2 linked regions of the Coturnix japonica genome follow. The protein of the gene in region 1 binds, or shares a complex with, the protein of each later gene. Links are inferred from orthologs where the notes say so. Each region holds a gene or a part of one and is shown in the gene's direction. Other genes may lie near its edges.

Evidence for each region. The genes of interacting proteins can lie anywhere in the genome.
Region 2: the proteins of CAPZA2 (region 1) and S100A1 are in contact, whole or in part, in an NMR structure (PDB 2KBM), measured with the Rattus norvegicus proteins. The link is inferred for Coturnix japonica from reciprocal best matches to the Homo sapiens genes CAPZA2 and S100A1. Residues at the interface, in NP_001009180.1 of Rattus norvegicus: Thr267, Lys268, Ile269, Asp270, Trp271, Asn272, Lys273, Ile274, Leu275, Ser276; in NP_001007637.1 of Rattus norvegicus: Ser44, Phe45, Leu46, Asp47, Lys50, Asp51, Ala54, Lys57, Ile58, Glu61, Leu78, Ala81, Leu82, Thr83, Ala85, Cys86.

Annotation. Positions count from the first base shown.
Region 1 is NC_029516.1:22,330,199-22,336,530, reverse strand, and holds the start of CAPZA2 (F-actin-capping protein subunit alpha-2), read left to right. Parts: upstream 1-2,610; 5' UTR 2,611-2,618; coding exon 2,619-2,738; intron 2,739-6,332. UniProt on the Homo sapiens protein: F-actin-capping proteins bind in a Ca(2+)-independent manner to the fast growing ends of actin filaments (barbed end) thereby blocking the exchange of subunits at these ends.
Region 2 is NC_029540.1:1,232,074-1,238,417, forward strand, and holds S100A1 (protein S100-A1), read left to right. Parts: upstream 1-2,876; 5' UTR 2,877-2,996; intron 2,997-4,247; exon of another isoform or gene 4,248-4,388; intron 4,389-4,593; exon of another isoform or gene 4,594-4,609; 5' UTR 4,610-4,617; coding exon 4,618-4,758; intron 4,759-4,840; coding exon 4,841-4,984; 3' UTR 4,985-5,128; downstream 5,129-6,344. Other genes in the region: protein S100-A13-like, read right to left, coding at 1-63. UniProt on the Homo sapiens protein: Small calcium binding protein that plays important roles in several biological processes such as Ca(2+) homeostasis, chondrocyte biology and cardiomyocyte regulation.

The DNA of each region.
Region 1 (6,332 bases):
CACTGAAAAAGCCTAAATATCCTCAGACTTCCACAGATGGTGAAGGGCTACTGAGCCATTCTCTTGAATACCTGCTGCAACCTAAAAGATTGTGTTAGCCAAGGAAGGAGCTCAGTCTAAAGTTTGCACTAGAGCTAGACTGCATTATAGCTTTCTTCCCTACATGACTTTAAGCATTTAATGTAAGGATTTACCATTCAACTCTTCTCGAATAAACCTATTTGCTTTAACTGTTAAGATACTGTAAGGTAAAAAGAGAGAACTGGGAGGTTTGCAAAGACCAAATACTGCTCAGAGTCAATACCGAAATAAATGACAAAAGCAGAACAGCAATGTACTTGATTAGTAGCTCTACGGTGTCTGATAAAATTAAATAGACTCAATGGCTGCTTTTCTATTTTATTTTAAATTGCCCTTCTCTCCTTGCATCAGTAAACCACACACTGCTCATCAGACAGACCAGGCGGCCCGGAGTGAGCTCCAATGTGGGATTAGAAATTCACTTAAACTTGGGTTGGCTTGTTAGCAATTGGATGTTTCACTTTACTGCATGTAACTGCAGTGCAAATTAACCTTTGATCGATGTGTAGAGACAGTGGCACATAAAAAAGCTATGTAGATGAACTTCATGGCATAATAAGAGCTACCGGTTGGAAACTGAATTTGTACAAATTAAAACAGCAAGTGAGGAAATATAACTTCAGATAAGATGCAGATAAATTCCAAACTAACTCAGGCATCACTGCTTTATACTGCAGTCACCCCCCGAGGAGATATTTTCTAAGTCACTTCTTAATCTTGGCATCCTTAAGCTTCCCATCCTGCAGTTCGCTCTGCATCTTCAGGAATATTTTTAGTTCTCCTTCCTTTAAACTCCCCATGAAGTATCCATATTCTTCCTGAAAAGACACAAAACCACTTCAAAACACTGAGTCATAAGGCAAGAGCAGCACTTATTTCCACATTATCCTGATTATTCACTTCCCATTAAGTCCTAAGGTCACAGTAAAGCACCTGCCAGTGTAATGCACAGAAGGTTCCCACTAATATCTGTGATGACTCAACAGTCCTCCCCTGAATCATTCCCCTCACCATGGTAAAATTCTGCAAATGTTAAGAAAAAAAAACCTTGCTTAAACACAGTAAAACCAGCAGCTAGATATCACATCTTAGGAGAAAATCAGCCATGTTTATATGCCCAGATCTACCTCCTTGAGTGATCCTCTTTTTACATTTTAAGTAAAGCTGTTTCCTTGGCAATACCCCAGTAGGTGGCAAATCCTAAGGCTTGTTGGAAATCAACACAGACTTCCCCAGCTGGTTTATTTTAAGACTCTTGGATAGAAATTATCAATTCCTGTTGCATGAAACTGAATGCTACGCAATGCATTCCATGCTACAGACCATTAACTGCAGTTGTTGACTCCAAATAACAAGTATGAGATGCTCCCAAACCAAACTATGTCAGGACATACCTTTCTCGTTCTACGCTTCACTGCTTTGCCTCTAGCAAGGACCTCATCACATACAAGGTTTGTTTGTTGTTTATTTTGTTCCCAACAGGAACAAAACTACCTTTGTCCAGCATGGCTACAGATATTTAAAACGTCTCTTCAGCTTTTCTGAATCAGACAAGTTGCCCAAATTGTACATTCATTGACTTTTTCATTTTCATCCTTTGTTTCTATATCGATTTTCAGGGCATTGTAATTTTCCAGTGCTCGCTTGACCTGCAAAAACCACTTGTACAATATTGCTTTCTTTTATTTAAATACAACAGTCCCTCTAGGGCATCTAGAATGCTACAGGTACTGGGAATATTTTGTTGTGCTGCATGTGACAGTATTAAGCAATTTTATATGGCTGCTGTTGCAACAGAGACGGATGAGCCTCAGAGCGTACCAAGATCTTTTGCTAGAAGGTGACTATATCATACCACTAATTATGATCTACTAAGATCTATCTTGATGCGTGTGAAGCTCCAAATTGTCATTTTGTTTCCTAGTGTTAATCCAACTGAAAGATGTACCCAATAAAATAACGTGATGTGTGGATTCACTTAAGGGTTGTCATGTTTTATTATGCAGAATGAGGATTTCCGTGTTATTTCAGCTGCACGTGCTATTGTACCACCGAGGAAACTGGCACCCCTATTAATGAAATGGTGCTCAGTCGTTTTATTCAGCCTTTACCACAGCATTTCACACAACCCAAGCAGCAGAACTTGGTTTCCCTAATGCATCATTTCCCATTTTTCCTCTGGTTTTCACCAAGTTAGAGGAAGGATATCTCACAAACATCATCTGACTCCTCTCAGCCTTCGGTTTCGTTTTTCACCACAGCATTTCAGCTCCCACCTCTCTGAGCCCAGAGCTCAGCCAGCCCCGCCATGAGGGGACCTGAGCAGCGTCCCACAGGAGGTGAGGAGCACTCCCAGCCAGCGCCAGCTCTTCCCCCACCCCCTGGTCTCCCGGTCTTTGCCATAAGCAGACACTGAACTCCACATCCTCACAACACACACCAGCTCCACCACCTCCTCCCTATCCCCGCGCGCTCCGTGTGGTACACGCACACACCGCCCACCCTTCCCTCAGCCGGTGCCCGCCCCCGCATGGCGCATGCGCAGACGCGGCTCAGCCTTGGGGCGGGGGTGCCCTTCCTGCACGCGAGGGCGGAGCTGCGGGGCGCCGGACGGCAAGATGGCGGACCTGGAGGAGCAGCTCTCGGATGAGGAGAAGGTAGGGGCGGGCGGGGTGGGGATGCTGCTCCCGGCCGCCGAACCCCCCCCTTCCCCGGTTCTCTGAGTCGGCGGGTCGCGGCACCGTCGCCGTTTGGGGCCGCCCCTGCGGCTCGGCCTGTCAGTCGGGGGCCGGAGGAGGGTCCGCGGGCGGGCAGGGGGCAGGGCCGGCCCGGGGCAGCTCCCGCCGCTCCTTGTAGGGCCGGGATCCTGTGTCCGCTGGAGGCGGCGGCGGCCGGGGAGAGAAAAGGCTCCTCCGGCTCTTCCTCCATCTCCGCTTCCCCTTTCACGGGCCTCCTGCTCTCCCCAGGGATGGGGCCGTGCCTCGGCCTGGCCCCCGAGCCGGCGTGCCCTAGAGGAGGAAGGGTGTGGGGTGAGGAAGGCTTTTTCGTTTCCTGTTAGCAGCAGCGGGGGAAGGCTGAGCTCAGGGATCAGACCCCAGGGTCTGTGTGCGTGATCGCTGCTTGTGGCCCTGGGAACTCATCCGGCTTCAAGCAGGTTTTCACAAGGCATCTCTCAAGAAGCAGCGTGTGTTACAATGCCTCCGTTAGCAGCACTCCCTGCCTTCCCCTCGGACCCAGCTCCATGGTAGCTGCCTGCCCAGAGCTGGGGTGTGGTTTTCCGTGTGCTCGGCTCATGTCTTCACATAGAGCGGTTTTATGCTTTTCTGTACTAAAAAACAAAGCAGGTTGTTGTGGCAGCGGAAGCTTTGGGATGATTTAAATGTTGGAGACATCAGAAAAATAAATGCTCCAGACTTCTCTGAAGTTAGAAGAAGGATGTCCAGAATGTCTTAGGTGGTTACAATGAGGTCGATTCTCTGTACTTTTCAAGATTGACAGGGCTGTGTTTCAGAGCTGGAGAGGCGCTGGTGGGCTAAGATGTGGATCTCTAATTTCTGTTCCTAGCCACAGGTTTTGAGACTGGTCCTCTATCTGGTTCACATTCACGTGTGTTAGATGTGGCAGTCTGTAATTGTATTCATTCTACAACATACAAGTAGCTTTAATCCACTGTGCCCTTGACAGAGTATATGCCTGGACATGCTGAGTCTGCAAGTGAAGATCCCAGGGCTGGAGGATGGCTCAGGTTCGCAGGCCCAAGCAGGGAACCCACAATCACATCCAGGCTGCTTCTGAATATCCCAAAGGAGGAGCAGCCTGTGCCAGCACTCAGCCACCCACAGAGCTCAGAAATGCTTCATTCCTCGTGCCAGACAGAACTTCCTGTTTCAGTTTGTTCTTATTGCCTCTTGTCCTGTCAAATAACGTAAGATACAGTGACACTTTCTTCTTAGCTCTCTATGAGCTGAGAAGCACTGCCTGTACTCAAGTGACCGATGAAGTTAAGTTCTGAACTTCCTTTTGTCCATTAATTACAGTATTTCTTTTTGTCTCCAAATGGGTGCAGACTTTCTGGAGGCTTCTTCTGCCTTTGTATAATTGAATAAAGTCAGCATTTTTCCATTGCAGATTAAATTCATTCCTCTGCCCATGTCTGTCCTCTATAACACTGATCATTCTACACGATTGAAGTTTTCCAAGCCTGGCTGCGTGTTTATTGGCAATAAAACAGAGATGAATAATGCTGCAGGCTCATGGATAGGCAAATAAGTGACCGTGCTGATCCTGTGATACCTCCAGGTTTTTATTTGTCACAGAAGAGGCATGTGGGTTAGTTTTCGTGAGTCTGAACCACTTTGAAAGTTTGTCAGTGTTATGTATGTGTATATATATGCTTCTCTGTGTAACTTTCTCCTGTTATACGAAACAAATGGCATCAAAGACTGACATAAACAATGTTAATGCTATAGGAAATTTTGATGGAGATGTAGCTATAGTGAGGGATTAAGTGATAGCACAGGTTATGAATTGTACTTGGTTTGTGGCTACCTCTGTGTGTGGGCAGGAACTGTAAGTGCTGCAAGGGCAGTAAAAAGTGCTTAGTTCAGGTAAGGGAGCTCTAAAACCAAGGAAGGAGAAGAGCAACTGCAAGGAAACATCACTTTAATGTGCAGGATGGTGTATCATAGGATCGTTCGAGTTGGAAAGGACCTTTAAAGGCCATCTAGTCCAACTCTCCTGCAGTGAACAGGGACACATACAGCTGGATCAGGTTGCTCAGAGCCCCGTCCAGCCTGGCCTTGAGTGTCTCCAGAGACAGCACCTACCTCCTCTCTGGGCAGCCTGTTGTGGTCCCTCACCACTCTCATTATAAAAAAACTGTTCTTATATCTAGTCCAAATCTCATATTTTTTAAGCTTGAAACCATTTCCTGTTGTTTTGTCACAGCAGACCCTGCTAAAGAGTCTGTCTCTTTCTTTCTTATAGTCCCTTTTCAGACACTGAAAGGCCGCTCTCAGGTCTCCCCAGAGCCTTCTCTTCTCCAGGCTGAACTGCCCCAGCTCTCTCAGCCTGTCGTCAAAGGGGAGCTGCTTCATCCCATGGGTCACCAGGGACTGCCCGGTACTACAGACAGCTTCTTTGAGATACAGTGGGTTTGTGGTGTTCTGTAGGTCACTGAAAATGAGGAACATCTCAGTTAGGTGGAAAAAAGAAAATATTATGCTTATGTTTCAGTCTGTAAATCAAAATGAGATGTGAGAGGTAGAAATATTGGAATACAGAACTTTTAAGGGAGGAAGTAATGGAAAATCATCACTTTCCTTCACTTCGGAGGTAATTTATCCTCTGAATAAGTCTTGAATACAAAAGCTATTTATTTATCCAACATATTTGTAGTAGATTTTATGCTTAATAACCACTTTTAGCAGTGTAGTTGTGTTTCAGTTCCTGTACGAATCATTCTGCCTGTGGCCATGAAAAACTGATAAGCAAATATAAAAATGTTTTGTTTTTTTTCTATGAGCTTATTAGCGTGCATCTAAGAATTGCACTTTATTTACATGAATATAAGCAGTGATCAACGGAAGGTATTGTCTTCATTGCAGATGTATTTGTTAATGTAAATACTTGTTAATAAATAGCAGCACACACAAAGCAGGGCTGCAACTGTTTGAATCCTAGGGATGTTTATAAATACCTGAGGTGTGGGAGCCATAGTGGTGAGGCTGGTCTCTTTTCAGTAGTGCATGGGGACAGGACTAGGGGTAATGGGATGAAACTACAGCATAGGAAATTCCGCACGAATGTGCGCAAGAACTTCTTTACGGTGAGGGTGATGGAGCACTGGAACAGGCTGCCCAGGGAGGTGGTGGAGTCTCCTTCTCTGGAGATATTCAAGACCCAGCTGGACGCCTACCTGTGTGACCTGGTGTAGGGAGCCTGCTTTGGCAGGGGGGTTGGACTCGAAGATCTCTAGAGGTCCCTTCCAACCCCTATAATTCTGTGATTCTGTGATGTTCTGTAGTCAGTGCCTTTTGCTGACTCACCATGATGTGTTTGCTGTAGGGTTTTTTTTTTGTCCTTTTTCCTTTTGCAATGTAAACCCTTCTCACTACAAAGCACAGGAGTTAAATAGCCGTGGAGGCAGGCTGAGGAAACAGAGATGTCTTTAGTGAAGAAAGAAGAGAGCATTGATAGGAAATTAGAGAACATAACGTGGTATTTTTTAATGCAAAAGCAGCTCGCTTTCC
Region 2 (6,344 bases), on another chromosome or scaffold:
GATGAACACGGTGACCATGGTCTCGATGGCCATTTCCACTGGGGTCAGCTCAACTGCGGCCATCGGAGCTGCAGGGAGAGTCCTGGGGGGGGGGGGTGATGCCCAATGGGACGTGGGGACCCCCACCATTCCCAGAATGGGGTACAGAGAGTTTGAGTGGCCCCAGCCCTGCAGAAGTGGGAGCTGCCCTTCCCACACTGCAGGAATGAAACAGAGGGAGGGCAGCCAACACCCGGAAGGGGATGGTGGCACCATGGGGCCCCATAACGTCTGCTGGAGGGTGGGGATGGGGCGGTGATCCCACTTACCCCACTCGGCCGCAGCCCCCCGCGGGGTCTTACAGCAGTGGATTGTAGCGTGAGGTCCCTCAACCCTGTGCAGGGCTTCCCGTTGGGTTTCCCGTTGCAGTCACCGCCCGGCAGCTGCTTCCCGTCCCCTCCCCATACGGCAGCAGCCTGAGAACTCCATGCACAGACAGCACCGTGCATGGGATGGGCTATGGGGTGAACCATAGGGGTCCCAGGGTGCACTCACTGCATTGAATGGGCTATGGGATGAACCATAGGGGTCCCAGGGCGCACTCACTGCATTGAATGGGCTATGGGATGAACCATAGGGGTCTCAGGGTGCACTCACTGCATGGGATGGGATATGGGATGAACCATAGGGGTCCCAGGGCGCACTCACTGCATTGAATGGGCTATGGGGTTGAACATAGGGGTCCCAGGGCGCACTCACTGCATTGAATGGGCTTATGGGTGAACCATAGGGTCCCAGGGTGCACTCACTGCATGAATAGGTTATGGGATGAACCATAGGGGTCCCAGGGTGCCACTCACTGCATTGAATGGCTATGGGTGAACCATAGGGGTCCCAGGGCGCACTCACTGCATTGAATGGGCTATGGATGAAACGCATAGGGGTCCCAGGGCGCACTCACTGCATTGAATGGGCTATGGGGTGAACCATAGGGGTCCCAGGGTGCACAAACTGCATTGAACCACCCAGATCACTGTTAGGTGCAGGGTATGCCCACCCCCCCAGCCCCCCACCGGTGCTTCCTGGGCTCTGCTTTGCTCCTATGGGAATAGGGACACATATGGGGTGGGAATAGGGACACATATGGGGTGAGAACACTGTCCCCTTTGTCCCCTTCATCCCATGACACCGCAGGTCATCCTGGCTGCAGACCTGGGGCTGGGATCACCCTTCTCCGAGTGAGAGTTGTGACTCACCGCCGGCTGACATCACCCCTATTAATAGTGGGCTTTGTGAAAATTAATTAATCCAAATTAATTAGGAGGTTGGAACTGCCCGAGCGTTCCTCTGTAATCGTGGTGTACGGCAGCCCCAGCACAGCTCTGCTATGGCACAGCCATTCCCATGGCACTCCAAGCTGTCCCTATGGCACAGCATTGGTGGCATGGGATAGAGGGGACACAGGGACCCTCCCCAGAAGTGGCCCCATAACTGCTGACCTTAGTCCCTATTAGGGTAAAGGCTTTTGGGGTGTCCCCAAGGCTGGTTGACACCGAGTGTGACAAGGAGCAAGGACAGGGCGAGCAGCCCCACCACTGCTATGTATGGATATAGGGGTATCCCTTGGGGACCCCATAGTCACCCATTTTGGGGACCTGGAGCAGGGCACGGCGCAGTGTCACCATCCCTGACGCACTCTTTCCACCCATCTATAGGGACAGGGTGACTCCAGCATGGGGCAGCCCGTCCCCACCCGCACACCCGTCACACCAGCTCACGGGGCAGGAATTGCCTTCCTGGGCTCCATCCGGTCCGTCCCCATCCCGGGGTGACGGGGGGACGGGGACAGCCCTTCCGCTGAGCCCCACGTCAGGGCACTGAGATGGGAAACCACTCGGGTGAGTCAGGTTCGGAAGGGACGGGGACAGGTTGGGGGGTGAGTCAGCACCCCAAAGCCAGGCAGGCCGTGACTCCTCACCCCTGGAATTTGGGGTGCCAGGATGGGGTGAGGAGGGAGAGGACGCTGCATGGCCCCAGGTGGGGACGTGTGGGGAGTGGTGGCCTCGGGGTGCCCGGTGCTATCAGGACAAGTGAGCAGCATCACAGGGACTGCAAGTACTGGGGTGAAAGCTTGGCGTCAGATATAGGATCAGTGCCCACCACCATATCCTGGTGCTGTCCCAACCTGTTCTACCCCATCATAGATGGTCACCGGGGGCTGTGGCCACCACGGACACCATCCTATGCCAGCCCACGCCGTGAGTGAGGACTCGTCCCCCACCCCATCCATTGAGGTCATGGGATAAGACCACCAGCCCACGTGCCACCACCACATCCCCAACCTCAGCACAGCTCACACCCAGCAGCTTCCCCTCTCCCAGACTCCAGGGATGGAAAAACCTCTTCCAAACTCCGGCCATGGATCTGAGAGACAAGATCAAGCCCAACCCCGGCACCAGCAACTGGAGCAACTGGTTTAGCTGGGTCAAAGTGGAGCACGGGAGTCGCAGAGGCTGAAACCTGTTCCAGGTTGTGTGTAAACCTCCTGGCACGTCCCTCGCTGATCCCAGTTTGGTAAGAGCTGTTCTGGGGAGCTGCCAGTGTGGACATGCCAGATAGCACCGCTGCGGTCCCCGTTCCTTGGGTAGACCCCCCCTAACAATGTGATTTTGGGTTCATGGTTCCGACCCGTCCCATCACTCAGGGAACACCCGAGCATTCCCTGCTCTCAGGAAGGTTTGGGGTGCGATAAAAGTGGGGCAGAGCCCAACTGAGAGCACCCAGAGCTCAGTAATGGGAGCTGTACAGCCACCACCTGGCTCCCATCAAGCAGCCGTGCCAAGGGCTGCAGGGATCAGGGGGGTTTATTTTTACACCCAGGGCAGCCCTGCAGCAGCTGTGCAGGCAATGCAGTGCCAGGGCCACGCAGTCCCGGAAGGGGCGGCCGCATTCTGTCCACCTCTGAGACGGGGACGGGGGTGCCACGGTCAAAGACCCCCCCACACCGACACTGCCACGTGAGTGACACCGGGGTCTGCTCCCCACATTGGGCTGCACAGCCTTCCCCCAGTGCCCTGGGTTCTGTTTCTGCCCTTGGTTCTGTTCCTGCCCTGGGTTCTGTTCCTGCCCTTGGTTCTGTTCCTGCCCTGGGTTCTCTTCCTGCCCCATGTTGGCTGCCGGATCCTGATGGATAAAGGGATCGTGTCCTGAAGTGACACAGTCCCTTTGCTTCCCCCCAGGACCACCCTCTCCATCCAGACCTCTGCATCCACCCAATTCCATCTGGGTTCTTCACCTTCATCCAGATCCCCTCTGTAGCCACCCCAGCTGTTCCAGGTGCAGGACAGCAGTAGAGCCCCCAGAATCCCATAATTCACCCCAAATCCTCCCCTCTTCATCTGGGCAGGCTCAGGACCCCCATGGGGTCATGGTGGTACAGTTGTGGGGGGGGGGGATGTTGTGGGGGTCCCAGTGCTACAACATTTCTCAACCACAGACACAGGAAGCACGGAAAGTGGAAACGGAGGGAGCAGGATATAATTAGCCCCAAATTAAGGTTGGAATCTGGGATAAAGAGTCCGGCACCACCCAACTCTTGTGAAAACACCACAATCCGGCACCCAGCAGCCCCCTATATTGGGGATGCCCCAGTTTGGGGGCTCAGCATTGCTATGGGAAGAGGGGGGGAGCACCCAGGGGTGGGGAGATGCAACAGGCAAAGCCAGGCGGCGCGGATGCTGGGCCGTAATGAGAGCCAGGATTATCAGCACGGTTTGGAATCTGGTTTCTTTGGCCGTACCCGTTGCTGAGGCAACCTACAGGCAGGGATTGTGGGGCTTTTTTAATGGGACAAGGGCCTTTCTGTGCACAGGGAGCGGGGGGCCCACGCTGCGTCACCTGATAGCCCCCATCAGTTCTCCCCCCCCCCCCCCCCATGGCTCTGAGGACACCGGATACCTGCACACATCAGCCACCGAGGAGGGATGGGGCCGGATCCATCCCACACCGCAGCGCTGACAGATGGGGGATGCCCAATGGGTCACACTCAGGGTCACGGTCTGACCCAGGGCTGGCCCCATTGCTCACCCCATCCCCAACATCCCATTGCTGCTCATCCCATAGGGCTGCAAAAAGGGATGTGTGAGGTTAAGGGCGAGACACAGAGCACCCCAAAGTGCCCCATAAAAGCACCAGCAGGGCTGGTAGTGCTCCTCCAGGTGTGGGGTGAGCAGTGGGGCCAGCGGGGCGTCCCTATATCCCAACCCTAGTGAAGGCAGAGCGGGGCGTCCCAGCGGTGCCAGCCCGACTGTCCAGCCCCGGTATCGGATCCTCCCGGAGGGAGGGGGCCTGGAGCTTATTTAACATCCCTGGGCAGCCCAGCCCAGCACTTGGCGCAGCGGGGAGCTCAGGTGAGCGCGGGGCGGCGGATGGACCACGGGTACCCACCATGGTTTGACACCATCAAGGGGGTCCAAAGAAAGGGGGTACCCCATGAGAAAGGGGGGAGGGGGCACCCCATAACATCACTGATGGCGTTCTGCGTGGTGCCAGGTTGGGAGGGGGCAGTGCTTGAAGGATGGGGTAAGGGGGAGAATTGTGATCCCTGTAACACAGCGGGTGACTCCCGCAGCTGGAGTCATGGCATCGCAGCTTGAAGGGGCCATGGAGACCCTCATTAACGTCTTCCATCACTACTCGGGTAAAGAGGGGGACAAGTACAAGCTGAGCAAGAAGGAGCTGAAGGAGCTGCTGCAGAGCGAGCTGGGCTGCTTCCTGGAGGTAGGGGCTGAACTGGGGGATATGAGGGGGGGTCCCAGCAGGCTGCCAGCCCCGGGGCTCACCCCTTGTCCCCCCCCTCCAGACCCAGAAGGACACGGGGGCTGTGGAGAAGATCATGCAGGACCTGGATGAGAACGGCGACGGGGAGGTGGATTTCCAGGAGTACGTGGTTCTGGTGGCCGCCCTCACCGTGGCCTGTAACACCTTCTTCTGGGAGAACGCCTGAGCCGAGCTCCAGCCCCACAGCCCCCAATTATGGCAACCCCAAAAGCAGAGCCCACCCCTACACACCCCTTGCTCACCCCTTGCTCACCCCATACACCTGAGGGTCCCAAAGGGTCCCAGCTCCGCATTAAAGGCATTGACCCCACCAGCAGTGTGTTGTCAGCTCCTTTATACTGGGGATAAAGGGGGGGGGGGGGATGTTCACATCACCCTGGGGTCACCCATAGGGCCTATATCCCCAGGGTGAGGGACCCTGGCCTGCATGGGGGGGTGGGCTGTGGGGTGGAAGGGGGGGGTGTCCATATCACCCTGGGGTCACCCATAGGGCCTATATACCCAGGGTGAGGGACCCCGGCCTGCATGGGGGGTGGGCTGTGGTCACCTATAGGGCCTATACCCCTAGGGTGGGTGATCCCAGCCTACATGGGGGGGTGGGTTGTGGGGGGCAGGGGGGGGTGTCCACATCACCTTGGGGTCACCCATAGGGCCTATAGCCCCAGGGTGGGGGACCCCAGCCTGCATGGGGGGGTGGGCTATGGGGTGCAGGGGGGAGATGTTCACGTAACCCTGGGGTCACCTATAGGGCCTATATACCCAGGGTGGGTGACCCCGGCCTGCATGGGGGGGGTGGGCTGTAGGGTGCAGGGTGGGGGGGCGTCGTCCCCATAGAGATACGAGGGGGAGGAGGGACCAGTTCTAATATGGCACCGGGCTGCATAGGGACCGCCAGCGCCATCGTCTGCCGGGCTGCGGCCTGCACCTAACACATAAAACCCACAAAACCCAACCGGGCCTTGGAGGTGGATACAGGCCAAGTGAGGCCTTGTAGATGTCCCGGTCCAATTGGGCCTGGTGACCCGCACGGGCCTAGTCCCCGCCATGAGGCCTAGCACCCCGCACAGGGCTGGGCCCGCAACTAGGCCGCATCCATAGCCCCGCCCACATCACCCAAAGTCCCGCCCACCTCGTGCTGAGCGACCAATAGCAGAGGAGGATTTGTACGCGTCGCAGGCTCTCCGCCCAATAGCGGATAGAGTAGCGCTCGCTTCGCACTGCGCCTGCGCGCCGCCATTTTGGCCGGCTGTGCTCTGGGAGGCGGGAGGAAGGAGGGAGCTGCGATCGGCGCCGCCATTTTGTCTCGGGAGCTCCAGTGCGGTGGGAGCGGGCGGAGGAGCTGAGCCCCGGCCCCACAGCCGCTAACAGCCAACAGGCAGCACCACAGGAGACCTGGCGACCGTCTGCTTCGGTGAGAGACCGGGGGGGAGGCTGGGGTGGGCTCTGAGGGGCGGCTGGGGCACCTTTGTTAATGGGGGGGGGGCTGTGAGGAGGCCGCTTCAGGCCCTGAGGGGGGGGGTCGTCGT